Linked DNA regions of Lytechinus pictus. The protein of the gene in region 3 purifies or fractionates together with the protein of the main gene of each other region. This does not show direct contact. Links are inferred from orthologs where the notes say so. Each region holds a gene or a part of one and is shown on either strand. Other genes may lie near its edges.

Region 1 (7,666 bases), on a different chromosome or scaffold from region 3:
AAACATCACCATTGGCATTGCCATTGCATCAGAAACAAACAAAATTTTAATCAAAGCTTCTTCAACTTTAAATATTGTGCATTTAATTTGTATTCATTTCTGCAGTTGATTAAACTTAAAGGGATGGTCCAGACTTGAGATATTTATATCTAAATAGAGTAAAATTCACAAAGCAAAATGCTTAAAATTTGATCGAAATTGGATAACAAATAAGAAAGTTTATTGAATTTTAATGATTTGCATTATTCTGGTGAAACAGGTCTAGGCATGTCTTTATGAATATTCATTAGGTGGGCTGATGATGTCATATCCCCACTTGTTCTTTTGTATTTTATTATATGGAATTAGATTTATTTAAAAAATTTCTACCAAGAACTCAATCAATTGGATTGACAACTGATTAAGTGCATTAGTTATTTATTGCCGCAACTTATTTCATCATAATGGAGACACATCATTTACACATGTATGAAAAAAATGAAACATTTATGATTTCATGTAACATAAGAAAAAGGAAAGTGGGGATGTGAGTGTGACATCATCAGCCTACCTAATGAATATTCATGACGATGTGCATATAGCTGTTTTCACAAAATATTGATAAACTTTAAAATTCAATAACTTCATTATTTGTTATCCGATTTTGATGAAATTTTCAGCATTTTGCTCTGTGAATTATACATCCATTTAACTGTTTGTGTTAGACCTCTTGTAAAGCATGTAAGGACCACTCATTCAATGAACAAGGTTATGATATAACCTTGTTCTCAGTTACATCTCCATGTGTTGCAAAATAAGGGTAGCAATGTTTGGCTTATTTTCTCTTTTTCTTTGGGACAAATGCTTGATTTTTTTACACTGTCTGTTTCCATTACAGCTATTCATCATATAACTTGGCTCTTAAGTAAATTTGATTCTTTAAATTATTTTTTCTTAATTAAAAATAGAGATTGAAAAATGAAAATTTTCTTACCATATTACTTTCCACCAATAGAGGGCGTACACAAAAATGTGCCCAAAATTTTAGTTTTTGAGCGCTCTGGTGAATACAAAAATTAGTCCCTGGTTACTAATGAAAAATAAATTGCAACTTTATGGAATAGTAATTTTGGTCACAAAAGTGACATTTTAATGATTTTTTAAAGTGTGTGCTGTGTACAGCATTGGCATACCATAGTCCTACCTGTAGATTCCCCACAGGCAGGATGGTTGCAGTGAGCAAGTGGTAAGGACTTTGATATTGATGGTACTGTAGTGGTAGAATTTTATTAATTTAAGTTTATTTTTTTCCGTTTTGGTGCATTTCAGGCCAAAACGGAATAATAATCTTTATTTTGGTCCAGTTATTATTATATATTTTTATGAAATTAAGACAAAAATTGATAAGCCCCATCGGAGGGATTTTGCATTGTTAACCCCCAAATGGCAGCTGCACATGGCTCGCGATCGTGACTCAGCCATCTGTGTACAACCTGTCTGTGTACGAGGATAATTTTTTTTTTAATGTTTAAAAACTCCTCGAAACAGACGGCTGCCAGCTGCTGTCTAGTCTAGATCTAGACCAAAAGCTTCGGTCCCTGTTATACTTATGTTGGTTGTTCCACTGAACTCCGTTGGCTTCACTCACGAGAAAAAAAAAAAAAATGTTCAAAAACTCCTCGAAACAGACGGCTGCCAGCTGTCTAGTCTAGATCTAACTTGTTAGACCTTGGATTGGAAGAATGCACACCTTCCTAGCAATGCCAATAGGCAATAGCACGAAAAGTGATAAATAAAACTGATACTGATAGACAGGAATAACCGTCGTTTCTGGGGATTTATTCAACAATTTCTGACATTTTACTATAAATGTATTGGTGATAAGTGAGCCAACGCAGTTCGGCGGAACAACCAAAATACAGTATTACAGAGACTGAAGCTTTTGGTCTAGAAAAGTGACTGTCATATATTCTAGGATGACCTTTCTGGGCCGGTAACTTCTCCAGCGGCATTTCCGTATGTGAGTCTGACTGACTATTCCGATTCGGCGGCGCAGCATACCGGGATTACCTTGCCCCGGGAACCTCGACACGACGTCTTTAGTATAGTGAGTGATTGTATTACCGACCGGCCTTGTATTACCGAACGCGCGCATCATTCATACGCATCAGAAAAAAAATTCATACATTCAAAATTTCGCAACATCCTTCCAAAGAGAACTTGAATAGAAAGATGATGAAAAATTGTCAAAAACACATTTTCAAAGTCTTAATATTCTAAAAACAATAAAATATGGTCAAAATAGCTCATCAGTGATTTTGTTGTTTTCTCAACTTTTCCCATAGAAAACACACGTTCGGTAATACGATACCTTTTTCAAGTGACCAAAATATTTCACATGCGAAGAGGGGTCCGATTGGAAGCAAAAATCGTAAAAAGGAAAAACTATTTCGGCAAAAATTTTACATATTTATATTTTGTAGGTAATTGTGTATTTATGGTGAAAGTTTGGTGAATTTTATGAGAATAATGTGCTTGATATGATTGAATTCATGAAAAGTGTTCGGTAATACGATCCACTACCATACGTGTTCGGGTAACCCAGACTGGCCAGAGAGCGGGAGCTCTCTGGGTTAGTGTTCGGGCTGCCGCAGTAAGGATTACCGGCCCGTCATGCGCCGAGCCGGGCCGGGGCCGGTGCGGGCCAGACTGACGTTAGCGCTGGCGATGGATGCATTCGCAAAATCGGCTTACCTTTTCCAGGCGCCAATCCCCCGATCTATTTTCCGCAGCCATTTCTTCACATCTTATTAAAAGTCGTTGGAAATTTACTTCTTCACGAGAAGCTGGCATCTTTGATATAAAAAAGGATAACGTTAGTGTCGTTACAATCAGATGAGAAATAAGTGACGTGGACAAAACTGACGCAAATGTGATGTTAATATTCTGCTCATCGCCCGTCTGACACTGAAGTTATCAACCAATTTCGAAGACATCTCTCAATCTCGATCTCTGTCTTGATTTTTTATGAAGATTCTAAAATTAGAGTTAGTGATTTATAAGGAATCCTAATTTTCTCTCGTGAAAAAAAAATTCTAAAATTTCGGACGGGGGCATTATTACACAAAAAAATAATAATAGTGGTCAAGTTCACCTCAGTTTATTTTTTATGACAGCTGTTACTTGAAGTAATACAATGGATATGGCAGCCGGATGATAGAACAATATTTTTTGTTTTAAGTTGTTATTTATTGAATTCTTTCAATACATCATCAAGACAATATCACTTTTTTGTAACATGATACAAACAAAAAATATACATACATAGTTGTTTTATCATTCATTTGACTTGGAAATAAAAAGTAGTATCTGTAAGTATGCATAAGTACATATCGCTAATCATGATATTTTACATTGAACTGATTTTTAATATGAAATTCATAAAGTACTTGTACAGAATGAATGAAATTAAGCAAAATATATCATCCGGAGGGACAGGAACCCCACACCATACACATAAAACCAGAGAAAAAAAACCCACAACAACAACATCATGTACACTGATGGAGGGATCGATTGATCAGTCTATGATTGCAAAAAAAAAATATTGAATTTATATATATATATATATATATATTGTGTGAAAGAAATGGATGAAGAGAACAATGGTAGGCGTAGCTTAAATCAAGGTTCCCCAGAGCTATCTACCCTTTTTGGAAAAATTGGTGATGCCGAAAAAATGTCTCTGCCGGGAATCGAACCCGGGCCCCCAGCTTTGAACGCCGGTGCCTTAACCACTAGACCACAGAGACGGGTTAGTGGCTAGGGAGACCCCGATCCAATGGGGACATCCCGATAGACCGCGGGTCCGATAGACCGCGGGTCCGTTAGACCGCGGGTCCGATAGACCGCGGGTCCGATAGACCGCGGGTCCGATAGTCCGCGGGTCCGATAGTCCGCAGTGTGTGTAAAATTATGATCAGATATATCAAATGTTATCGAGAGGTCCAAAGGTCAAATGATACGAGGCCATGGGGTTCTATCAGGTGCGGATCCATGGAGGGCCGAGGGGGAACTGCCTCACCCCCCCCCCCACCCCCAGCTAAAAAAAAAGAGGGGGATCGAAGAGGGGAAAAGGGAGAGAATAAAAAAAGAAAGAGGAAGATGGGAAAAGAAGAGAATAGAAAAGAGAGTAAGAAGGAGAAAGGAAGAGAAGAAAAAGGGGAAAGGAAAGACAAAGAAAAAAGGGAGAAGAAAAGGGGAAAGAAGAGGGAAAAAAGAGGAGGGAAAAGGAAGAGAAGAAAAGAAAGGAGAAAGGAAAAGGAGGAAAAAGAAGAAAAAAAAGAGGAACGAAGAGAAGAATATTTAAATAGAGAGGAAGATGGGAAGAAAGATAAGAAAAAAGAGAGAGAGAGGAAGAGGGAAAGAAGAGAAGAAAGAGAGAGAGGGAGGAAGGGGAGAGAGAGGAGAAAAAATATTAAAAGAGAAAAAAGGGAGAAGGAAAGAAAAAGAAAAAGGGAGAAGTAAAGGGGAAAAGAGAAAAAAAGTGGAAGAGGGAAAAGAAAAGAACGGAGTAAGGAAAAGGGGGAAAAGAAGAAGAAAAAAGAGCGAGAGTAAGTGGGAAGAGAGGAAAAACAAGAAAAGAGGGAAAGAAAAGACAGCAAAAAGAGAAGAAAAGGGGGAAAGAAAAGATGGGGGAAATAGAAGAAAGGGGGGAAAAGAAGAGGGGGAAAGAAAGAGAGAAAGAAAGAGAAAGGAAGGAAGGGGAATTAGGATAAAAGAAAGAAAAAAGAAAGAAAAGGAGATGGGAAACGGAAGAGGGAGATGTTGACCTGGACGTCGATTTGATGGCGCCAAAATGACGTTCGAACTATGGGGCGCCGAATTGATGTTCGATCTAGCGGGGCACCAAATTGATGTTCGAACTAGGGGAGCGCTAATTTGAATTTTGACCATAATGCGACAAATACATGTTTCAGAGAGTGGAGGGAGGGCAAAGTTATATTTCACATGATGGGGGCGCCAAGTTTATGTTCAACCGAGGGCGCCAAATTGACCTTGAACTTAGAGGGCTTCATGCAAATTCATTTTCGACCGGGGACGCAACATTGCCTGTTTATAGTAAAATATATGTCCTGCCAAAAAACTTCAATTAATGCGGCTGAATTGAAATATCCCGTTTTTACGATAACAGAAAAAAAAATGTTTTCGAGTTATAAGTCTGTTTAGCGAGATAGATACCCTGTTCAGGGTCACAAAAAAGGGTTATTGTCAAATTCAGCTCGCGCTACGCGCTCGCAATATTTGATTAATGAGGTATGCATCCTCTGCTTCAATCCCACATGTAAGTGTTAGTGTTTTTCAAGTCAACATACATAGGTCGATCCAGGGGGCAAAGATTTTGCCCCCCCCCCCATGGTGGCGCAAAAAGGGGTAAGAAACAGAAAAAAGGAAGAGAAAAGGACAAGCAATTAGAATAGGAATTATACCTTAGTCCTTCTTAAGTCAGTATATAAATACAGCTCAATAGGCTGATATGTAGTTTAAAATATCAAGTTTTGATATCAATATACAAAACATAATTCAGCTCGGACATCGATCTTTCATTATTTTGTCTTATTTACCAATTTATGTTTTAAGTGCTCTGGAAAATGTCCGTTTTATGGTTTGAATCAACATTTGCAACATTTTGTGCGCTCGCACTATATGCCAAGTAGGCCTATGTATTGTCTTTTTATATTTAATATAAGATTCTCTAAATATACCTTTTCAGGTGTCTCGATTAAAAATAATAATAATAAAGGCCTATGAGCTAGCGCTGTGCGCTCGCGTTTTGATTGGTGAGTTATGTATACCTATATATTAATTTTATAACAAACTACTTAAATCCCCCCATTAAAAGAAAAATACGGATCGCGATTTGCGCTCGCATTATTTGCTAAAAATATATCAACCAATGAATCCTATTCATGATTACAAAAATACTTAAAATATCCAGTTTTCAGGCCTCATGCACTGTCAACAAATTTCACACACTCATTAGGCTTAACAGATTAATAAATATGAAATAAAATTTGTATAAATTCATTATAACTAAATTGTCCCTTTTTCAGAAATAAATTTTTAGGAAAACAAAGAGAAGATAGTCATCATTCTTATATGATGACAAAATGTCCTTAGGCCTAAAATGTCTCGATCCTAGGTCAAATAAATAATAAAATATCAGCTCGCGCTTCGCGCTCGCATTATTTTTATAGTGCTATCAAATTTCCCTATATACACAGTGCTGTAAACAGTGCTTAAATTGACCCTTTTTATATCGGAATTTCAAATATTATTTTCAGCTCGGGCTCTGCGCTCGCATTATTGATTTTTATGATGAAAAATGAAATGTATTCAGATTGCCAGGATTCTGTCTAACTCTAAAACACGCGCACGCATGTTTTTAGGATACAAAGCTTGATCTTATTCAAAACGTGCTAAAATTATCCAGTTTCGAATCAGAATATCAAAAAAATTTTGCTCGCGCTTTGCGCTCGCATTATTATTGTAGGAAGATACCAAAAATTACCCATCCTTTTTCATGATTGACAAACATGAATCGAATGTCCCATTGGGGGATTTGAAATCTCATCTTTTTAGGTTGGAATATCAAAAATGTTCAGCTCGCGCTTCGCGCTCGCATTATTTAATCGTTGAAATATGTATCGTCTTAATGGCTAACTGCAAAACATCCTTAACATGTCCCTTTTCGACCAGGCCAGAACGAATATTTAACATTTCTGCTCGGCTTCGCGCTCGTGGTAATTATCTAGTTATATACGCTGTTCAGGTTCACAAACATTGCCCAAAATGTTCAATTTTCAGGACAAAATACATGAAATTTCATTTTTAGATTACATAGGGCTTAAGAGATTATTACACATGTATGTTGCTTATAAAGTAAAGCTAGGAAATGACTGTTAGGACATGGGTGTTTTGCCCCCCCCCCCCCAAAAAAAAAAAAAAGAAGAAGAGAGAATCAAGACTAAGAAAAAATAGAGAGAAAAGGAAAGGGATAAGGATGAAATATAATATTATTTTCCAAATATTATGTCAAAATCTATCACAACCTTGTGTTTTTGTAATAAAAATGTCAGCATATTTGCTTGCTCGCTTCGCTCACTGGCAACTTCTTATTAATTTTATGCGATACACCATATCGATCCCCCTCGAAATTGTTGGCTCATTACGGCACTGGGACAACCCCTTCAAAGAAACAAAAAAAAAAATCAACTTTGAGCGGCCGATCGGGGAAAATATGGGTGAAAAAATGGCCCCTCCCCCTAATGGCGGAAGCTGGGTCCGCCCCTGACTTAGGCTTTCAGGATATAATACATGATAAATCTATACAAAAAAAATCAGATCGCGCTTCGCGTTCTCATTATTTATTTAGGCCTTGTGAGATACCTCAATTTGTTTTTAAGAATGAAATATCAGATTTTCTTTGACGTCTACCACCCCCCCCCCCATTTCATTTATTTTTTTAACTTGGTGCCCCCCCCCCCTCCCTCCCCACGAAATCCTGGATCTGCGCCTGGGTTCTATAACAATAACCCAATTAGGGCAATCACCCCCTGACAACTACTTCAAGGAAAATATTATCCCCATATTTTTACCGGCGGGGACTGATACCCCCCCCCCCCGG
Region 2 (7,989 bases), on a different chromosome or scaffold from region 3:
CACTTGTTTTGCTTTTCGATGTTATGTTTATGTTGTTTTTGTGTTTTGTTTTGGTAACATTCCAACTTGCATGGTTTCATACCCGTTTGCCGTTTTCATTTTCAGATGCATGCTCGCTTGTTTGGGGTTGTTCTGTTTTTGTTTGAGGGAGTCTTTAATCATTTTGGTCTGTTTATTATTATTATTATTATTTTTTTTTTTGTTGCTTATTTGGTAATTCAGTACAGTGGGGAATCCAAGCGGGGAGCAAGGTCCGTGTACCCGTAATTCCCGTTTCTTTTTACATGATAAAAGTGTCAAATTAAGGGGGCTCATCCCTGGATCCGCTACTGAGTAGAATTTATTATTTTGGAGATTTTACTTAATGTTCATAATTTTCTAAAATCATATTTTTAATCTGCCATCCCGATAGTCCTGATAGTCATTCATGAAAATCTATCAAATAATTTGGTTTTTGTTTTTAGTCGCTCCAGTCAATCACCAAAAGATAATCAGCCACACGACCTATGTCAAATAGTAGATCAACACTAGCTCATTCAAACTATGGGCATCGGAGAAGAGGATTATCTTTTGTATTTTTTAGGGGGTGGATGCAACAATAGAGGTCCCCAATGAATATTAATCCTCTGCTCTGCTGACCATATCAATCCCCTCTCGTTAAGATTATATAAATTTTCAATCACTCAGAATTTTTAATACAACAATCCAAAACGGAATCAACCAGAAAATGGCGCAGCATCATCGTTTCAGTCAATTTCATTACAGACAAAGAGTCAAATGGGCAACATGTTATTGAAACTTCACGTCTTTGCAGTCAAGATGTTGTTTATTTTTTTTCAGTCTATGAAATGAATGGCAAGGTGAATGTAGAATTAATACAAATGGCAAATAAGTTTCATACTCTTGTCTTTCATAAATGGAAAGAAATCAATAAATCAAATACTTTGTAACAAAATTTACTGTTTGGCCATCTACGACTACGTACAATACATAAAATTGATATAAAATTAAGAATGATATGAATACAAACAATAGAATGTAAAAATAATTCTTGTACTGCAAAATAATTAGTACCAGGGCTAACAACTGCGTAGAATATATATTTTCTTTGTAATTTCTTGGATTTTATATTAGTTTATTTTTTACAATAAAATTAATGGCTCAATGATACTTATAAGATCTACGTCGGCCTCCGATATAGGGAAAACGAAGAGGAAATAAGGATTTCATATCATTCCTTTGATAAATCAAACAAAGTTTTAGGGAACATAGTGATATAAGAGGTCATTGAAGACTATCTTTAATTCACTCAATGCTAAATCTTTCTTGAATACAAGTGTGGTACGCCTTCTTGATGAAATAATTTGAATGAAGATAATGTACATAAATTAATTTCATCATAATGGCCTTAATCTATCATTCTTACACTATCCTTTTCATAATTATGCTCATTGTTTTATTGCAACTTCCTTCAATATCATCATTTACTGGTTCCATATTAAAACACAAAACTACTGCCCTCGCTATTGTCATTTCCTTTACTACATCAATGGTCCTTTAAATCCCCCAAAAATGAACGAGAAAAATTAAAAGGGAAAGAAAGACAAAATAACGACGAGACCGACAATTAATTTTGAATCATCTGCTGAAACTCTAGTCTCTTCACCCCGAATTTTGCCATCCGCTGTTCCCATGCCGCCAAATTTGCTTTTATAGAAACGGACAGGTAAGGGCTGGAACCATGCCGCGATTTTACTGGTGTCTTCCCATCGATCTGTGGAGAAACTGGTAAGGAAAATTTTTTAGAACATTTGAATTACACAGCATGATGGAAATTACCGATTGATATAATAGTTTAAGTTCAGAGTATGGTTAAGTAAATAAAAATATGTAGACCTACTTTATCCCTATGCGTTGATTTAGGTATCCCATATACCTCAGACGCCCTCCTTTTTGACATCTTGTCTACCATCCAATACTGAGTTGTCAACCTGCTGTTTGATATACTGTTAGTAAAGATTTGATATCTGTTTGAAAAGTCATTGAAAGTATGAACTCAAAGAATTTAAAATTAATATTAGACGAAAGGAACATTTTATTAATTCTATAAATCACTTTAGGCCTAACTCGGGCAACTGAATTCCAATTGAATTCACAACAGTAACTGATAATTCTAACCGAATTCGTCAACATTGTCATCCACTTTCGATTGATGTTATTAGCAATGATGACAATATTAAAAGGCCCCTTGTTTTAAATTAAAACGACCAAAAAAATTAGCTGCAGACCTCTGATATGTGAGGGACAGGCAAAATTGAGGGGCAATTTTCCAGCCTTTGATCTAGCAATGACGTCTTTTAAAATAACACTCGTGGAAGAGCCTTTTTAATTTTTTTTTCTTGGGGGGTCCATCATCCCTGGAACCGGATGTATTATTCAAATTAATAATAATATTGAAAATAACTATGATAACATTAAAAAAATAACACAGTTTAACTATTGAGGCCAAAAAGGAAATCACTAAGAATTAATCTCAATCACGTTAAAGGCAATATCAAAATGAGCCCTGGTCAAATTCGCCAACTTCGTCACCATCGTCATTCACCCGCTCATATTGCATTTTCACAGGCAATAAACATCTTTGTTTTAAGATTTTTATTAATAAAAATAATTGTAGGTATATTCTTAACTTATTTAGGCCTAACGTAGGCATATCATTTGCCCTATCATTTGAGAAAGATGTAGACTTCAACTCAATCACGCAAAGGCAATCAAAATGAGCCTTGGTCAAATTTACCAACTTCGTCACCATCGTCATTCACCTGCTCAAATTGCATTTTCATAGGCAATAAACATCTTTGATTTAAGATTTTTATTCATGAAAAATAATTTTAGATATATTCTAAACTTATTTAGGCCTAACAGAACAAAAAATGGATTAAGAGAAGTGTTTCACTTGCGAGGAGCAACGTATCTGCACGCTCTTCCCTCCTTACAAACACACCGGCAAAACACTCAATGTTGCGCGACCGAATTCTGGTCGAGCGCCCTCTCACTATAGGGGCAATGTATAAGCCCTCGCTACTCATCAGTTTCACTGCTAGTTGCATATTCGCTGCGACTGGGTGAACACACAAGTCTTCCCCTTCACACTCGTACCAAATTCACTACACCTACACACGAAGTCATGACGTCACAAGAGTTTACATGAGGCTGCGTCCGCTTAACTCAATAGCTAAGAAACCCGGAAGTAAACAAAACCCCCCCGACGCGGTCAATTTTAAGGTTAGTTTTTGGCTGTGTGCTTGTCTTAATCGACATTTTTTTTGAGGTGGGCTGGAAGTGCTGGTTTCTTGCATGATATGCCAAAGTTTTCTGGCTCATGCATTATTTTTTTTTTTTCAACAGCTGTTGAAACAGCTGTCTGACCGAATTCTGGGAGGTGACCGAATACCGGGCGCGTTACCCTATTTTATTTATTGGTGCCCATAATTAGTAAATTAATCATAAGAATTGCGCATTCAAAGAATTTAGACACAGTTATAAAATTACCGAGGAGCTGAATCAAGGTTGTGAAATTTATTAGCGCCACCAACGGGCTTCCTTGTATTTCCGTAGAAGAGACAAACGAAGTCACTTGCTAGGCCGAGGTAAGCGAAATTTGCTCTTTTTAAATGAAATGAGTTAAATATCATATGTATAATTTTGTTATGTATTGCTACTTACCGGAAAGAGCCCCGGTGCGTAGCGAGAAGGAGTTTCGGCAAATATTACTTCAGCAATGAAGCAATGTTTGCCGACTAGTTCGAAATCTACGGTCAAACACGGTCCGGTGTACGAGGTTCGTATAATATATACGAACCTCGTATTAGTTAACCCAGAGAGCTCCCGCCCGCGCAGCGGGCGGGAGCCCAGAAGCTTACCGTGTATTTTACCATTGTCACCGGACTAGGGTGATTTATGGTCTAAATATTTCTCAAAATGAATTGTGAAAACAGAAAGTATACAATTACCACGATTATATGGATGAAGGTCTAACGAGTGGCAGTTTCCTGACATCTGGGCACAGACTGGAACCTCAAAAAAACGAAAAGTTCTCTCCTTCTACCCCCGTTTCGATCGGCCATTTTTGTTAAAAATTGTAACAAAATGGCCGATCGAGACTGGGGTAGAGGAGAGAACTTTTCGTTTATTTGAGGTTCCAGTCTGTGCCCAGATGTCAGGAAACTGCCACTCGTTAGACCTTCATCCATATAATCGTGGTAATTGATTGTATACTTTCTGTTTTCACAATTCATTTTGAGAAATATTTAGACCATAAATCACCCTAGTCCGGTGACAATGGTAAAATACACGGTAAGCTTCTGGGCTCCCGCCCGCTGCGCGGGCGGGAGCTCTCTGGGTTACGTATTAGTGTGAGTGATACCGCCCCGGCCCTGCCAGATCAGATGCATTCTGCCATTTTCACCTTCTTCAATTGAACTTTTTTACCACGCAATTTTAAATACGTGGGACATACATTACGCAATTCAGAGCTGAGTCAGGTACACCACACATCCACGGCAAGACTTATTATATACTTGACATTATTCAATTGATTGAATAAAAATGAAAATTTAACATAAAAAAACAGTGAAATATTCATTTTAATACGTACATTATCAATCAATAGGGGGGAAATACGTAATACGAAATATAAGAAAGCTCCTCACGTTCGAAGTTCGTCGGTCAAAGTAGTTGAAGATAGCCACTACAAAGTTGACTGTTCGTTTATTTTGCAATTAAAGAATTTCAACAATATGTTTGGGGTTCAAATATATTAAATAAATTCAATTCTTTTTAATTTGAAACTTAAAAGTCTAAAAATATTATTTTTAAACTATTTTTTTTGATAAAAATAAAAAAAATCATTGACCCGTATTTTATTTTTAATACTTGGAAATACGATTCTTAAATTGATATTTTATTCATTACCACTCTCTCTTACCTTTTTCCTCTTCGGATTTCATGGTCAATACCAGACGTCATAGTATTATAAAATTCAATAAAACTGCACGTTATAAGTGTTTTACTTCGTCTATGATTGTATTATTTATTTTTTAATTGAAGATCTTCCAAAATAGTTGCGTTCTCTAAATTAAATCTTTGAGAAATGCAATTTATGCATTCGAAATTGATAATTCATCTTCAAAGTTTCTGCTGTGCGTTTTGAGATAAGGCTAATTTTGTGGTACACGTATGAATCTCTTTTTAGATCCTATACCACCCTGGAATTTCGATTTCAATTGAATTTCAGGTATACCATTTGGTTATCTTGCTATATTCGACACATTTCTCAAGGTTTTAACGAAGCAGTAAGAGAAGAGCTATCCACGCTCATCGGGAATCGACGTGCTGAGAGCTTAGAAGATCTCTGTATAACCTAGTTCAGCATCACTAGCTCCACGTATTGATTTTGCTGTAGGCAAACCTGAGGAACAGTTGCACTTGCAGTTGTCTTGTTGACCAGTCCATCCATCCATTCCTTTCTCTTTTTCATCATAAACAATTTCTCAAGATGGTTTTGATGACGATGATAGCCCGTGTCGCTGACGGGCTGCCCTTAGCAGCCTCGATGCAGGAGGATGAACAAGTAAGTTTATCTAGAATACTCATTAGAGAAAGAAAACCAAACAAATTGCATAAGTAAAAAAAAATAATAATAAAAGTACCGGTAAGTCAAAACGAGCCAGTGCAGTGTCCGTCAGTCTCCCCCTCTTTTGTTTGTGTCTGTGTGTGTGTGAGGGGGGGGGGGTGTTAATGTTATTTTGAATATGCAAACTAGTCAGTTTTGACTATTTGTTGCCATGCCTTGTATAGGCACGGCCGTAGTCACTAGATGGCGCTGTCGCGGAAGTGCTCAAAATTTGTACGCAAGCTTCGTTCGCATGTCAATCATTGCAATCGCATAGCGATGCGATATCGTCAAAATTAAGCCCCTGTTAGCGCGGATGTGTATGATATTTTCTCTTTGTGATTGTCCTCCCGTGCGATGAAAAATATGTCATCGTATTGCACAGGACTTTCGCGAGCTACCGATACCATTTTCGTGCCCCAAATTCCATGAAATCTTCCGAAAATAAACATGAAAGTGTCGGTAAGTCGAAAATGTCTTGAGTTGCTTTCAATTCTTACCTTATTTAGTTGTATTTCTTGTAAAATGGGTCTCGAAGGGTTCCGGATTTTCCGTTGATTGTGAAACTTGAGTTGATTTCCTTTCTGTGTATTGCAGTGAAATTGCAGCGCGGGGAATCGCAAGGGCTGGGGAAGCCCTTCTCAGTGAGGTTTGCAAGCTGAGCTGTCCTTGAATTTGGTCGAATTTCGAGCCATTTTAATCGCGCGCGGGATGATAAATTTACATCATAATAGAGATTAAGATTACGTCACGTACGTGCGTACATGTGATACACACAGAAATGAAATTGAACTTGAATCACACGGAATCACAGTCAAGAAATGCTTTGTTTTCTTCGTTTGCTGAATGATTTCCTGAATTTAAAATCATGAATAAACACCAGAGTAATGACATGAATAAGATAATCATGGTCATATTTGAGAAATAACTAAATATTTTCTGAAAACGAGTGAAGATGATGGGGCAGTGATGTGCATGCACTGGAAAATGAACATTCACTGTCAGTGTCAGTGCCGTGGTGTCAGTGTTTTACTGCCAATACTGGCTTTACTTTTGCCAACTACCGGTAGATTAAAAACTCATTTATTGATATGTTTATTGCAATTTTTGAATAAATGGTAATACAAAGTGGGAAAAAAAAGATAAATGAAGATAAAAATAATTTTGACTAAAAACTTGTCATGCCATCACCCCCCCCTAAAAAAAAATACCCACTATCTTGAATGACTCAGGTAATTTAATTTGTATTGAAAAAAATAAACAATTGTATTTATGCATTTTATATTTCTGATTCTTTCTGCCAGAATACCAGATGCCATCATGAATAACCTCACCACCAGGTTGAACTCCTAAACATCTTGATGATGACTATCTCCCGAGATATATCTTGCCTTCTTGAGATTGGAAGTTTTAAGTTCAAGTCAGAGCGACCTAAGGCCCTACTACCAAGAAGAATCCAGATTTACATAAAAACAAATCCCACGAAAGATACAAACTGATTTTACTATTAATGTGTAGTGTGTGTGTGAGACACTGTTTGTGTTTATTTTGATGAGGATCTCCTGTCTCTTTTTATTATTTCATTGACTGAATGAATGATCAATACCTAAAAGTGAGAACTGATTTTTGAGGAGAGTAGATAAGTGTATGGTTTTGAGTGAATTTGAGTAACTTTTGTTTTTATTACCGGTATTTTTTTCATCATTATTATTATTTTGCCTTTTATTACATATTTTCAGTTTATTTAACATTAAGTTTAAGTAACCAAACTTGATCAAAGTGTTCAATTTTTGGGATAGAATTTTGTAATTTCATTTATCAGGTAATAAAACTGAGTTTGGTAAATCTAAAAAAGGACACTAAAAATATGAACACTTGGAGATGCTCACTAAGATGAGGAAAAAACATGAAAGGAACTGGAACTTAAGTGGATGTTATAGCATGCCTTTCGAAGATCTCCAAGCACCTGGAATCATAGGCGGTGGAAGTGGGGGGGGGGGGACGTATCCCACTAAATTTTAGGTGGGGAGGGGACGACCCCCCCCCCCTCAATTTTTTGTTGATAACCTTTTTTTTTTTTTTTTTTTTGGCTTGTCAATTTTCACTTTTGTTTCCTGTGTCCCCCCCCCCCTAAGATTTTTGGTCACTATTTTTTTTTTTTTTTTTGTCAAAAAGTTTTGGCGGTTCCCCCCTAAAATTTTTGGCTTCCGCCGCCAATGCCAGGAATGATGATGTTCAACTGAGAGTCGCTGAAGTGGAACTTGTTGCAGAGAATGATTATTCCAGGACAAGTTAGATGATATTACCCAGCCCAT
Region 3 (7,558 bases):
TAACAATTGCCAGGTATCTAGGAGAGTAACCTTGTGTTAGTAATGATTATACACTCCAATCCAAGTCCAAATGCCTCCTGGCTGTTACCAGGCCTAAATTATGCTGCAGCATGATAAATGATACTTGATAGGACAGCTAATCTACATGTACAGTGGATCATCATGACGGGTGTCGAATTTGTTTCCTCCCTTTTTTTCATTAAAAAGAATTGGTCGCATGCTTAGAATCATGGATTTATTGCACATGTAATTAAAGATGATAAAGTAAAGAATCAAAGTAAATGGAAATTTTTGTGCTTTTCTAATTCTTTTTTCTATCGCTTTTTACCATCTTCTAAGTTTTACTGCTTCAAAATTTTGCCGCACTCTAGGAAGTAGATGTTCACAGCCAATATGGGCGACTCTCACTCTCTCCAATATAGGAGACTATCTCCCACAAAAAATAATTATATTTTACTTACAACCAATATAAAAATTTTATGTAGGCCTAAATGATAATTATTTGTTAAACAATAATTTTGTCTATAGATTGTTCTACAAAACGGCGCTTCATAACGTAGCTCATCGTAGCTACGTCATAACGAAGCGAGTCAAGGGTCAAGCCTACTATTGTATTACGCAGCATGGGAAGATTTTGCAATGGCCACCACAGATCGGTCTGGAAAGAAACCTCTCATTTTTCAAGTTTATAATTTGATACTTTTTACACATTTATATGCATAAGGTGTATAAAATCTTCAAAATCCGATAAATTTCATATTTGGTAAAAATTGGCAGGGCTAAATAGTAATTCTAGAGGGAAATCCCTGTTTAATCATCAAGTTCAACTATCTGGTCCGTGTCAAGGCTCCGTGATGAAAATACAATGACAAAAATATGAAATAAAATCATCACAGAGTCCTCTAGGCTAGCTAGGTGCCCCTGTCGAATAAATGAAGGCACTCGGAAGCTTATTGTTGACTCATTTCTGTGCACATTCAATGCGGTCCTGGTTTTCTGATTATGTCACTTTTAAGATATGATCCTAAAATACCATTTGCAAAAGTTTATGAACTCAGAACAAAACCACAGATTTTTCAGCGACCCCGCTTATCAAATCTGAGCTAAGCCTAAGATAAGGCTATGCTGTCGCGTGCTCTGGAATCATGACGCAGATTCCGCAGCTTTAAAAGGGTAAAATATTACTTTTTTAAAGGAAATTTTGAGTTTAAATTAGGACTTTTCGATGGTAAGCGATTATGCCTGTGCATAACAATGCAATGTTTTTGGTGTGTGTTTTGGTGATTGTGAAATAAGTTGACAATTTGTCACGTCGGTGCAGGAACGCCCTTAGCACCACACTTCCAACACCCTTACACAATGCCCGTATGCGTGCAGCTAAGGGCGTTCCTGCAACGACACAACAAAAAACGATCATCGATTGTCAAGTGACATGTCATAATTCAGCACCTCAAATTTCAGGTGCAAACTATCATTTTCCAGCAAACGTAAACGTATCTAAAATTGGATACAAAAATCTCTGATATTGCCTAGAGGTAGGCACGGCCATGGCGCACTAGCATGCTCTCGCGGATGTGCACAATTTTGTTACGATTTTTAACAAAAATGGCCGATCGAAACGGGGGTAGAAGGAGAGAACTTTTCGTTTTTTTAGGTTCCAGTCTGTGCCCAGATGTCAGGAAACTGCCACTCGTTAGACCTTCATCCATATAATCGTGGTAATTGTATACTTTCTGTTTTCACAATTCATTTGGAGAAATATTTAGACCATAAATCACCCTAGTCCGGTGACTATGGTCAAATACACGGTAAGCTCCTGGGCTCCCGCCCGCGCAGCGGGCGGGAGCTCCCTGGGTTACATTTCCCCCTCTGTGATTGTACCCCTGTACAGTGCATATGGCGGCATCGTAACCAGCGGAATTTTAGCTAGATTTTGATACCAAATTTAGCTTCAAAATCCAACGTAATCCGCTCAAAATAAGCTCAAATCTGATAGCTCATTTTATGTTTCACCACATTTTTATTGCATTTCATGAATTTTGGGTTCAAATCGGTCCAAATTTATGGATGTTTTTTTAAACTTGAATTGATGAAGTTTCGATGTGTGGCCATATTAGACCTGCGCAGGGCATCGCCCTATCTAACCCAGGGAGGGACTGAAGTTAGCAACCAAATCATGCGAACATGTGGCGAACAAACTGCCAGCATGCTGCAGGCGAATCTTTTGGTTGATAACTTCAGTCCATATCAACATTACGGCGCACGGCGAATCCAAGCGATCCGCGAAGAGGATTCGAACAACGACATCGAGATCAAAGCTGAAATACAGCCGTTCCCGATATTTGGAAGAGGTGGGTATATTGACCTCGAAATGTGACTGAGAGACTTGTCATGACATTTGGGAACAAGTATTGGTGATGAGGTATGCTGGTAATCGGCCGGCGGCCGGTGCGAAACTGCATTTAGCGCCCAGCCATATTTGTGAAAAATAAGCAAAACTTTAGTTTAAAAAATGTCATGACTTTTTTATTTTACATCCGATTTTATTAAAGCATTCTGCTAATTTGATTTTTCTGTATTTATTCAAATCAACAATTTTCTGGGGTGGACTTGACCTTTAAATACTGGTGTTAGAAGTTGGAGATAATCTCTCCCATATTGGCTGTGCCTGCCTGTGCAGTGTCTGTGCGCCTCTAGTGCACATATGCCGGAGCTCCGCTGAGCTCCCCCGCCGCGGGCCCCCGAGTCGGCTGAGCTCCCGGCCCGGCTCGCTATCGCCTCTGCTCTGGAACCGATTAAAAAATACTTACCACTTCTTTTGCCTTTAAAGCAAAATCATCTTTCATGGGTTTTGCATGACTCAAGAGGGATGACTTAGAAGTATCTTTGGTAACTCCAAGAGCTTTATTTCTTGTCCGAACTGTTTTAATTGATGCTTTGAAGAGTGGGGTTCTGTCTGCTGCCATATTGACAAATTTTTACTTTTTAGCTTCACACGTCATTCTAAGAGGTGTCGTTGAAGTAAAAATTAAAAAATAAAACCAAGCTACGTACATTCGCACGCTAAATCTCGTGTAAAGATCATTGCAAAAGAAGAGTAAAAGGAAATTATTATAAAACACATAAGAAATAATTTAGAAAACAAAAGAAAGTGAAAGAGATAGAGTAGAATTAAAGAAACAATAAGTCAAGACAAAGCTACACAAGTTTTGGTCTGAGTGACATTATGTTTACGCAGCGGCACATGGGAATAGTGCCCTTTCATTATACCTTGGTCACATTTGTTCTACGGCGGCCGTACGGCGAGTCGAAAACAGCCGTTTTATCAATTTTGATTCAAACCACCTATATGTAGTTGGACAAAAAATGTTAAAACGGCTGTTTTCGACTCGCCGTACGGCCGCCGTAGAACAAATGTGACCATGGCATTACCACTATACCAGTACAGCACAAATAGCAGATCAGTATCGGAATTCATCCAAGCTAGGAAGACAACAAGATTGACCTTGAAACTTGACTCCAAAACAACTGTATTTTTCCAGCTGATGCAGTATTAAGGTATAAAGGGATAAAGAAAACAAGGAAAACATCTCCAAAATTATGAACGTTAAATGTAACCGTCCCTAAAATTTTCTCTTCTTATTTATATAAAAATAATCATTATGCAATCCAAAAGAAAAATAAAAGGGGGAAGAGAATAGGACAATAGATTATGTTCAACTAACATCTATTTTATTCTGTGAGGACGCCGCCGCCTTCCTTTTCCTGGCACATCATTTCAGACAACTAGGCGATCGGTGTCGACGTCTTTTGGGGAACACTGTTGCCTTTATAACACCATTCGTCAGCGTGTGCGTGTGTAAAAACTATTTTTGTGTTTTTACAGCATTTTATCTTTTATATCATGCAGATTAATATTTCTAGGACCGATCTTGAACGTCTCCAAGGAAAGAATAACGAGGGATCACAATCTCGATTTCAATTTGTAAATTCTCCCATGTAGCTTAGATTCAGGGGAGCGTTTCATCGACATTTGCATCCGACAAGTTGTCAGGTCTGACAACTTTCCTTGATTATGATTGGCTGAAAGGCACTGTTATCATAGTAACTGTCGGTTAAAATGGGATTTGTCAGAGAAAACGTCTGACATGCCCTTTTATGAAACGCTCCCCGGGTGTATATAGGCATACCATAATAAACGTCCATAAATAACACTTTCTCACGTTTTTTTATTGCTTGTACTTTACATTTCGGGAGGATTAAAAATAAACAAATTCATTGGGTGTCTAATATAAGAACATTTCTCTGTTCGTGTCATCTATTAGGGCATCACATTTAGACCTATTAGATTTCATTGTTCGAGCATTATTATCTCTCGTTGGAAAAAAAAAACCAATGGAATTGTGTTTATTTGTGGGTAATACACACACAAAAAGCTCCCGAATCATTTTCTTCTATCATACTCGTTCCCATACACATCCATTTCACACACAACAAAAAAAAAACTTGAAAATCCTATTGTTAATCCGACTAATTGTCAAAATCAAAAGTTATTGCATTTTTCTGGAAGCCTAACGAATTGTGACTTAATTTTACTTGTCTAAAATTTGGGTAAAATTGCATAATCATTAATGTGAACTATATAGTGGATTATCATCTCACATTCTAATCTTTACATGCAATATTCATCCGTTGATCAAGATCAGTGAAAATTTCATTATATCTAATATATATTATATACGCCTTTTGGATTCTTATCTAACGAGCTTTGTGATTGGATTATAGAAATCTTAATGCAAAATTATTACTGAATTTTGAGCTCATTGCTCGGGAAATGGCTTAAAACAAAAATGGAACAGATACAATTCATCATGATTTAAATGATAGACAAGGAAAATAGACAATGAATACGATAGTTTGATTGTTGTTTCTTTATTCACATTTAAGTTAAAATATAAATCGAAATAAATAAAGTAAGACAAATTCTTGTGATATCATATTATACACTAGTTACGAATGTTCTGCCAGCTTAAAATTATTTGAAACTGAAGAGTAAACAAGATAACAATAATGGAACACTGATTGCTGCCCACTCTCACGAATAGTGCCATGATTGTAACGGTTGTCTTAATCGTTGAGTAATCGTAGTGATCTTATCAGATCGTATCAGATCAGTTGTAGCGATCGTCTTGATCGTAGATAGCTTCATATTTTTTTAAACAATTTTTTTATTTTAATATATTCATAATCAAACAAATCATACATGTATCACAAAACATTACAAAACGAAATGAATATTGCTAAAAATTAACAGTTGATCACACTTACTGAAAATTACGTAATAACATAAGACTAATTATAAAACATTGTTTATTACATGTTTGATACATAATACATTGTTTAATACATGTATTTTGAATGGTTTAAACATTTTCGCGATCGGTTACGAAAAGCCAGTCGTGGCGTTCGAAAAGGATCGCACGTATGGCAAGCCATTTTAGCATTTAATCATACGTCTTGATAATGATCAAGAATTCAATTTCTTGATATCAAGAATAACCATTGCCTAACTACACAAAACCATTTCTTGATATCAAGAATTCGATTTCTTGATATCAAGAAATATGATTAAATGTTAAAACGGCTTGCCATACGCACGACAGTGAGAACGAGACAGTGGAAAGGAGGGAGAGAAAGGGAGGGAGAGAGACATTGCACACCATACAAGACAGTAGAGCACAAAATACATTTGAAGTTGGGTTAGGTATTAGAACTGAATGGCCCATCGAGAGCAACATGATGGAGGGGTAATTCTAAGATGAGAGGGAAGAGAGACTAATAGAGGAAGAGAGAGAGGGGGAGGGGGAGGGGAGGGAAGGGAGTTATGAGGGTACAGAATAAAGAAAAGGTAAAACTATGAGGAATTGAAAATAACAAATTACAAATTTCAAGTATACACTGTACGTGCATTAATGATGAATGATGTAAAACAGAAAATGGATACAATAGTTCCATCATTTGTATCTTTATTCATAATAGTAACATCAACCTTGGAAGTAGATCGAAATATATTGTGAATGATTGATCAATAATTGAAGACAGAGCTCATTATAGGCAAGTTATAAAAAGAGCGGTTACAGTGATGACAATCAAAGCGCTGGTCAAAATACCTCATCATTAGCAAATGAGTTTTAAAGTATTGTTCTCATCACCACTGCATTTATGCATTGTTGAACATAAACCTTGATCACAATAAGGTAAAACGAATATAAGATACGAAGATGATTAATTTTTGGATTACTGCTATTTACAACAACATACAAATTACAACGTATTCAACTTTTATCATGCAGCTCTGTATAATTAGCGAAAACGACAAATTTCTGTCTGCTACTATAACTGAAATATTGATAAATATCAGCTAGACTCTTAGTCTGATATATACATGTTCCATGGATGCAAATTCACAACTCTGTCTACATGTCCTATATAGTCTGATAGTATATTTCAAGGGGTTAAATAGAGCTGGTGTAAACCCAAGCGGTGAACCTATTTGGGGGCGGGGTGACCTATTATTTCATCCCACTCCCCAACCTAAATGGTGACAAGGCTTTTGATCCGTCGATAGTTACTCGGGGCTTCCTCTAAGATGGGGTTTGGGTAGCAGTGGGGTTCTATGTTAATATAAGGTTAGGTTTAGGATGAAGCATAATCATGATAATGTTAAACCCATGGTTAAAATGGGTAATTCCTTCAGTGTCTGGAATTAACAGCGGAGTAATAAAATTTCGGCGGAGCAAATGTCATAGAACCACTTGAATAGTATGAGGGTTAATTAGAGGGGGGAGTTAAAAAAAAAAGAAAATGAGGTGAAAAACAATTAAAAACTCAGTCTTACGCTCGCAATAACATGACCAGAAAATCGACGGGCGTCCAAAAGTTGGAGATACTAGTTCAAGGATATGCCGCCATAATTATTCAGCAGTGCCGGACATGCTTGAAGGGGCACACATTAAAGGAAACCAAAAAGACAAGGAGAAACTCTATCTTATCAGAAAGAATTAGATGAGAGGAGCAATCTAACACTTGTTTTATCAAAATCGGTTATAGAATAAGCGAGTTATGGAGTTTGAAAACTCCTGTTGTACTTTCTATGTCGATCCTCAAATTGGCAAACGTGCTTCCAAATGGCTGATTTTGAGGACAACTCTCCATTTGTCATATAGGAAAATATAATTCACACCACATATGTCAAGGTCAGGAGGAGATAATGTGAAATATGTAAAATAAAGGGGAAAATCTGAAAATTTGTGTACAACAAAATCGGAGATATGTCCACAAAATCAGCCATTTTGAAGCACGTTTGCCAAGAAGGAACAACAAGACTTTTTAAACGTCCATAACTTGCTCATTTCATAACCGATTTTGATCAAACTTGTTTTAAATTGTTCCTCTCATTTCACTCTTTTCAATAAGATTGGTTCTTTTCTTGGATTTTGGTTTCCTTTTAAGCGTTTGCTCCTATATAGGTATCGGAACAATATTGAAGTTAGGGCCG
Region 4 (7,843 bases), on a different chromosome or scaffold from region 3:
AATATTTCAAAGCCATATGTCAGCAGTGCCACCCAGCTAATATAAATGCATATGTTTATTCACCAATTATTGATTTCCAGTGGTACACCTCAAAAAAATGGATCCCCAGGCATGCAAGCTCTATAGCTTGTGCCCCTTCCAAAATCTGTCCCCCCGGGATAAGCGCTGGGGTTGCCCCAACACCTAATCGTATTAAAAAAACACTAAATACGACAGTACTAGTGAGTATGTTTCGTGGTAGGATGTAATGCTTTTATATGACATGGATTAATAAAATCATATTGAGATCTAATATTTTATGCCCATCCCCATTCTCTTGCAATCAGGTAACCCAAAGACACGGGCCTTCATGTACCAAGGAGGCAACAATGGTTTCTACAAGGCCGTCTACCATGCTGTACCCATGGTCGTCATCCCTTTCTACGTTGACCAACACGATGTTGCCGCCAGGGTGACCCCTAGGGGACTGGGAAAGGTCTTGGACAAGTTCAGTCTCAGTGTCGATATCATCCACTCCGCTTTGACTGACGTCATTACAAATGATAGGTAGAAGTAGTACTATATATTTTAATTTGTCAAATACTTGGCCTTTACTCGATATGTTTACTGCTTGTTCGAAAGTCATTATCCTAACAGTGCCTTTTCAATTAAAAATGCAAAATGCTAAATAGTTAATATGCTAACTTTTGGAGATGTTATAGTGGAAATCACACTGAAATATAAGTTGGATTAATTACTTGATGACTGTCATGGCTGTTGGATCCCGAGTTTGGTAGTCTTGATTAATTCCCGTTTTCGATAAACACATATATAAACTTTTTTGGCTATATTCCAAGTTTTGGACTAAAAACAATGGGAATCAATGTGTTTAGTTGGCTCTTGGCTTTATACGAACCGAAAATAATGTGGCCTACAATATATTTGATATAGGCTTAACCGGGGCTTAGCATGTTTAAGGGTGACGGATCATGAATGATGGTTAGCCCAAATACAATTCCTTGAAGATTCATGAAAACATTTTGTGAAAATGAGTGCCTTCCAGGTCACAATTCTTTACAGTTAAACGGATGTTTAAATAATTCCCAATGTATGTGATATATTACATGTATCTGTCATATTCCTTTGGATATACATGCACATCATCATGATCATATGCAGATGACCAAACAATACCACCTTTTTAGATATGAGAATCTCTCTCTTGATTTAAATGTAAACGAATTGAAACAGAAGAAAAGATGTCTTAAATCATAATGAAATATTATAACAAATTACATCATAATCTCATGAAGTTGATTCTTATCGTTTTATTTATAATTATTATTTGCAGCGGTACGGCAAAAATATTCAGCGGACTTCGGCAATCTTTAGGGATCACGACATTACCCCACCCGACACCGGTATATTCTGGCTAGAACATGTGATGAAATATGGAGGCTCCTATATGCGTACACCAATAAATGAGCTCAATATCATTCAATACTATTTGATTGATGTTATCCTGATTTTCATATTTTCTACGGCTTTGGTCATATAGGGCTTCTTGTTTGCTCGCGCCGTTTACTGATCCGATGCATTTGTAAAAGGAGAAAAGAGAAAGTTGAGTGACATTAATTTGTTTCTCGCTTTGAAGACCTTGGCACTGATCGGTGGGATCAAGGGCGGATCCAGGATTTTCAAAGGGTGGGGCCACATCATGTTTCCTAGGTAAAGGTGATCCTCACTTGTGTATGAAGACCATATTCTCATTCGAAATATATGCTGTGACTCTCAAAGGGGCCGGGGCACACTTGTGTATGAACAACATATTCACATTAAAATATTGACTATGTGGCTCTCAGAGGGGGAGGGGGGCTGGGCAAGGGCCGAATTTCCACCCCCCCCCCCCTGGATCCGCCACTGGGTGAGATGTCGAATTGACAGTAATTATGATTAGGCCCTATAAACCAATAGATTTCACTCGTATGAAATAAATCTGGGAAAATATGAAAAACGCACAAATATTGATTCGTGTCGATGGTCTTCGAAGCAACATTGCATTTGCCCCCCCCCCCCCAGAAAAATCGTATGTGACAGTATGGTGATCCCCCTCCAAAATCAAGTTTTTTAATTAACACAATAATTATTATAAAGGGTAATGTTTCAAAGTGGTTGCTATTGTGTGAATGCCATAATTATGTTGATTAACACCATATAGGTTGTTATTTGTAGTCGTAACTTACCTTGTATATATTAGGATTGATTTATGTTTTCTTTTATATATGTATTTGTTTGTACATTGTATTTTGTATTTTTAAACGTGTCCACTGGACCCCTCAGTAGAACAGCCTGTGGCTGAAGAGGGCCATCCAGCCCACGAGTGGAAAATAAATAAATAGATAAATAAAAATAACATCATACAAAGCATTTCCCTGTAGTTTATATGACTATGAAATCAAATCCATTTTTTCACATCTTCAATCCATATGCCTGCATTTTCACAGTAAAAGTCTTCTTGCATCGGATAGAATATAAAAAGGGTAGGCCTATACAATATCGATTCGCCACCTTCGTTTTTCTTTTCTTGTTAAAATGATTGGAATATTTACACTTTATAATAATACAGGCCTGTAATGTTATATGATATTTTTATCCCACGGGAATAAAAACAACAAAAAAATGATACGATTTTCTTTCTTCAGTATGATTATATGATATTTCCATGAAGGCATGAATACAGTCTTAAAAATAATTTAAACAACACTGTTTACTACGTGAATCGCACAGTAGTACGTTGTTTAACAAGTGCTTAAAATCTTAAACAATCAAACCTATATTATTGATGATTAAATATTTGAATTTAAACTGTTGTTTAAGATTTTAAACACTTGTTTAAAATGTTTAAACAACTACTGTGCGATTCACATTGTAAACAGAGATGTTTAAATTGTTTACGTACTTAATTTGTACCAGACAATGCTTGTTACTATTCTAATATATGATTGTTAAAAAATAGATGATCTTTTGTACCTTATATCATAAATCGTTTTGTTTAATAATAAAGAAAGAGATAATCCCATTATCTCCATTACTTGACAGGGAATTCTTGAAAATTGTAGTTTTGACTGTTAACACATGATTTACTAATTGTGACGATTTTTTTGCCAGTGGAGAATCAAATATATTTTCTGAGCAGCACTATGGGCGTAATTATTTAATTGGTTGGGTTGCAAACACATTCAGAGGTAATATCTTCCAGTGCCTGTAGGGGCGGGGCGGCATAGGCCTACAGTGGGCAGGGGCGCGAACCACTTCTTGCACTAGGCCTACGGGTTTTTTTTTCTAAAGTGAGAAGAAGAAAACAGATCGAGAGAAGAAGGAAGAAAGGAGAATAAGAGCATTAAGAAACTGAGAGAGGAGTAGGTCAGAAAAAATGGTCGTCGTGCCTGCCCCCTCTCCCTATTAAAATATCCTTGCGTCACCCCTGATCCTTCATTGCTACATAATGAACCAACTGCGAAGTAGGTATGCCTATATGTACAGGGGCGGATCCAGGATTTTCCAAAAGGGGGTAGGGCAAATTTTTCGGAGGAAAAATAATCAACCACAAATTAAGTATATTTCGTACCCGAAAAAAAGGTCTTCAATTTCAAAAGAGGGCACACCTATGTTTTAATGGCATTTTCACATTACAAATTCTAATTTTGCTTCTCAAGGCCGCGCCTGATGTATAGGCCTATTGTTGTCTGATCCGACATCGGCGGAACCTAATTGAGTCATATTCGAAAGCAACCGTGTACCGGGCACTGAGCACTATGTATACCGTTGATACTAGAAATTAAGTTTTAGCCCCGATTCCCCATTCACCCATACGGTACAAGACGGGGTCGGTGCCCATCAAAAACCCCAAGTATCACTGCAAAACTAAAGTTTACTTCTTGAAAGATCTTTTGGCAAAAATAATTAGAATTAATCGCTCCGATTACTTCTAAGCTACATAAAAGCGGCATATAGAACATGATTGGAATTTATCATCCAAGGGTGACATATCAGGTTGCGGAATCGCGATCTCGATTGCAGTCGTCACCGCCCATGTGGCATTAGCCCCCGGTGCCCCCATAAATCCAGACGGCATATCACTGATCTTCCCGCCGCCCCCCTCGGTTCAAAAAATGTTGGTGCCATGTGCACCCGGTGGTCTAATGAAGGTTTATTCGAAACTCATATTTCCCATAGACTTATGGGGGCTGTATTAGGCCCTATAGGATTTATATAATCAATTCCTTGAATGCGCCTGTAGCCAGCTGAAGCTAGCTAGCCGGGATATATATATATGCCTATTGTGCGCCATTGATAGGCAAATAGATAATCGGCGTTTCATTAATGCTCTATATTATAATTATTAATAATTCGCATAAACTGAAGAAATATACCTGATTCAAGAAGAATACTGAAATGTTAGCATATGAGTCACTTCACAGAACTTATATACCGGTATACCCCACCCTCTTTTATCATCAACTTTAATTCTTCTGGACATGGAGTTTTGAAATATGACTTTTATATCAAATTACAAGTATTCTGCAAATAGCAAAAAAAATGAATTGATTTTCAAAAACTGTTTGTGTAATTCTTTGCTCAAATTTCTTTGAAATTAATGAACCTTGTAAACGTGCTTGCTTAGGCCTTTAGCCCGATCTTCCGTCGATGTGTTTATACATGTATTCCACTTTTGTAGAGTAATAATTAGGCCTTAACTCACGTTGTCTTACCCTGAGGAAACATGGTAAAACCAGTGTAAAACTTGTTTGCTTTATTTATCTTTTTTTCTCTCACGTTATGTTTTAGACACTACCATTAATAGTCGCCAACTTCATTATTAAAAATAATTTTTTGACGACATGGCAGCGTCCATCAGAGAAAAACAGATTGGTAAGTTGAAAAAATAAATTCTTTGTAAGTTTTTCTAAACATTTTATGTGGATAATCATAGCATAATTTTATGATAGGAACAAATATGTTCAGATGAACATAGCTTTGTTCACCATGTTTTAACGTTAGCCAATTTGACAAGACATTACCGGACGAGTTGAGTGACTGTTGTCCCATGTATTATTTTTCGTGTGAGTTGTGACGTGGCTATTCTCGACTCTCGGCGCGGCATATTTGTTAAATTGTTTCTCAGACTCAGTCTCGGCCTCGTAATTAAGAAGGCTATTTTTTTTTCATACATTCTGTTTTCACAATTCATTTGGAGAAATATTTAGACCATAAATCACGCTAGTCCCGTGAGTATGGTCAAATACACGGTAAGCCCCTGGGCTCCCGCCCGCGCAGCGGGCGGGAGTTCCCTGGGTTACTTTCTTTACTTTCTTACTTTTTCTGCCTCCAGCTGCAGCTCTGGCATCTGCTCCGACCTTGCTCTTGCCTTGCTTGGTTTGGCCTTGGGCTTGGAGAATGTTGTAGAAAAGTGCACAGACGTCGACTTCGGCACCTCATGATCTTTTAACTTTAAGTAGGGTGTCTGAAGCCACACTGAAAAGTGTCAGCATAAAACAGGCTGATTTAGGGGAAAATATGGCACATTTTTTCGGGGAAGTTCAGGCTACTAGAAAAATGTGATCTGAATTGATTATCAACTTGTGTTTGGCATGTATGGAAAGAGAAAATTCAGGGGCTTCTTTTGACAGAAAGGACAAGTTTATAGGATCATTTTAAATAAGGATTTAGAGATAAATTGCAAACCCTTATTTTTGTGTGTGTGTGTTTTGTGTGTGTGACAGAAAGGACAAGTTTATAGGATCATTTTAAATAAGGATTTAGAGATAAATTGCAAACCCTTATTTTTGTGTGTGTTGAGATTGCCATTTCTCCATGCGTTTTCTATGGGAAAATGAAATTTCTGTTTTGCACAATTTTTTTCACTTTGTCGCAATTTTTCATTGTGATCTGGTTTCCAAATCTTTATAAAAATCATACCATCAGATAGAGCATAAAAAATCCTATTGGACTCTTTATGGACAAGTTTTTGGCATTAATAATAAATTTCAAACAGCTCTCGGAAGCTAAAAATTTGGATTTGTGTGTGTCCATTTCTTAACTACACAGTCTATGGCAGAGAAATGCTGAAAAATGACCTAATTTCATTCTTATTTTTTGCAGCCAATAATTGGATTTTTTTCAAAAATGTTACATTTCTGTCAGTCTGAACGTCATTTCTCTTCAAATTCACAAAGAAAATGTGATATTTTCTTGAAATAAGAAAAATAATTTTTTTCTCCAGACACCCTACTTTAAGAATTGAATTTTGTTTTGTGTTTGTTTTCTTGAATTGAGGTTCACTTAACTCTGTATCGGTAGGCCTACTGTGTCTGTAGCTTATTATTATACTGTTTTGTAACAAGAAATCTAATTTATTTCAATTGTCTAATTTTTGTAAGTTAAAATGAATAGTAGGTCTATGGCTATTTTGTGCTTTTTTTTAGTTTAAATTTACACTTATTTCAACTCTCTCTCTTTCTTTTCGAGTTTATTACTTTGATTCTACTCAATTTTCTCCTCATAATAGCAATCAACAAACATATAAACATACAATATAATACACAATATAGGTAAAATTTTGCTTTAAAAAAAGAATAGCATTTTTGGTCATAAGAGAAAAGCTCTCAACTAAGTAATGTACAGTCCTATGTAAATATATGCTTTAAAAAAACTTTATACATAGCAGTCTTTAAAAATTGTGGAGCAAATTGCGATGCAATACCAGGAAAATTATTCCCTGCAATAAAATTTGTAAAGAACATGAGTGTAGGCAGTGGCAAGAAAGGACGAACCTTATAAACGCCAACCCAAGATACTTAACATAATGGTATAAATTGAAATAACAGAAATTATTTCCAGTAAAAATAAGACAACTAAAAGCCGAACAAACCCTAGACAAACTATAATACCAACAAGAGCTTATATATCAATGCAAATAATTCTGACCAAGTAAACAAGTTTTATATATTTCTCTTTTAAAACATTTAGTGATTTACTTTAAAACAAATTTAAGTTGGAATCAAATTCCAACTGTAAGACTTATGGAATGCTAGTAGAGCACATCCCAGTGGATTTTGTAAGAATTTGGTCATGAATAATAATGCTAAATTGCTTATGCAGCTAAAAATTTATGTTTAGATAAATGATTTTCAATTTGTTACAAATAGCAGTACCATATTATAAAACTTTTCATGTATGAAGCGAGGTGAATTAAAAATGTTAATTTATTATTATTTATTTTTGTACCAGCTGCTTTGAAGCGAATGCTGAATCTGAATGCAGTTCCGACAAAAGCTTCACTTGCAGAACCAGCATGGAAGGTAAAACAAAATATTTAATGAGTATTGCTTTTGACCCACACCTACAAATAATCATCCTCTAGTATACAAATAATGAATGTTTATGAGTGCAATGGACAGAATTTCTTATGAGGTGAAAGATGAAATGATCCATTTACGCCTCACTGAATGAAGTATTCTGTCCATTGCACAAATGATAAGAGCATTCATTATTTGGTCTATATGACACCTAAAAACAGATTCTTTTTCATATGAAATTTATGAATGCAAAATATGCTCACGCAGTGCAAGCTTGGTCTGTTGATTGTCGCGTACATACAACATGTGTGCTGCAAACACGAGTGATTTATTTGTGGTGCCTGCAGTCTGGGTGCACGCGTGCAACTGACAAAATTGTATAGATCCTAAATTGCATGATGAATAGATCCAAAGTTGCATGGATGATGATGTCATTGTAAATGGGCTGAATGACCAATATCAAACAACCAATCAAATGACAATGATCTATCTAGGTGTCATATAAA

The links.
Region 1: the proteins of syntaxin-18-like (region 3) and vesicle transport protein USE1-like purify together in Homo sapiens (co-immunoprecipitation; 4 studies listed by BioGRID and IntAct, counting the BioPlex papers as one, with this or other methods). This does not show direct contact. The link is inferred for Lytechinus pictus from reciprocal best matches to the Homo sapiens genes STX18 and USE1.
Region 2: the proteins of syntaxin-18-like (region 3) and vesicle-trafficking protein SEC22b-like purify together in Homo sapiens (affinity purification with mass spectrometry; 5 studies listed by BioGRID and IntAct, counting the BioPlex papers as one, with this or other methods). This does not show direct contact. The link is inferred for Lytechinus pictus from reciprocal best matches to the Homo sapiens genes STX18 and SEC22B.
Region 4: the proteins of syntaxin-18-like (region 3) and sec1 family domain-containing protein 1-like purify together in Homo sapiens (affinity purification with mass spectrometry; 5 studies listed by BioGRID and IntAct, counting the BioPlex papers as one, with this or other methods). This does not show direct contact. The link is inferred for Lytechinus pictus from reciprocal best matches to the Homo sapiens genes STX18 and SCFD1.

What each region holds. Positions count from the first base shown.
Region 1 is NC_087249.1:30,180,949-30,188,614, forward strand, and holds the start of vesicle transport protein USE1-like, read right to left. Parts: upstream 3,018-7,666; 5' UTR 2,833-3,017; coding exon 2,734-2,832; intron 1-2,733.
Region 2 is NC_087259.1:20,212,512-20,220,500, reverse strand, and holds the start of vesicle-trafficking protein SEC22b-like, read left to right. Parts: upstream 1-4,980; 5' UTR 4,981-5,557; coding exon 5,558-5,632; intron 5,633-5,939; exon of another isoform or gene 5,940-6,136; intron 6,137-6,978; exon of another isoform or gene 6,979-7,286; intron 7,287-7,849; exon of another isoform or gene 7,850-7,989. UniProt on the Homo sapiens protein: SNARE involved in targeting and fusion of ER-derived transport vesicles with the Golgi complex as well as Golgi-derived retrograde transport vesicles with the ER.
Region 3 is NC_087256.1:16,138,332-16,145,889, reverse strand, and holds the start of syntaxin-18-like, read right to left. Parts: upstream 3,013-7,558; 5' UTR 2,967-3,012; coding exon 2,811-2,966; intron 1-2,810. UniProt on the Homo sapiens protein: Syntaxin that may be involved in targeting and fusion of Golgi-derived retrograde transport vesicles with the ER.
Region 4 is NC_087251.1:20,938,193-20,946,035, reverse strand, and holds the start of sec1 family domain-containing protein 1-like, read left to right. Parts: upstream 1-4,832; 5' UTR 4,833-4,880; coding exon 4,881-4,911; intron 4,912-7,269; coding exon 7,270-7,340; intron 7,341-7,843. UniProt on the Homo sapiens protein: Plays a role in SNARE-pin assembly and Golgi-to-ER retrograde transport via its interaction with COG4. Involved in vesicular transport between the endoplasmic reticulum and the Golgi.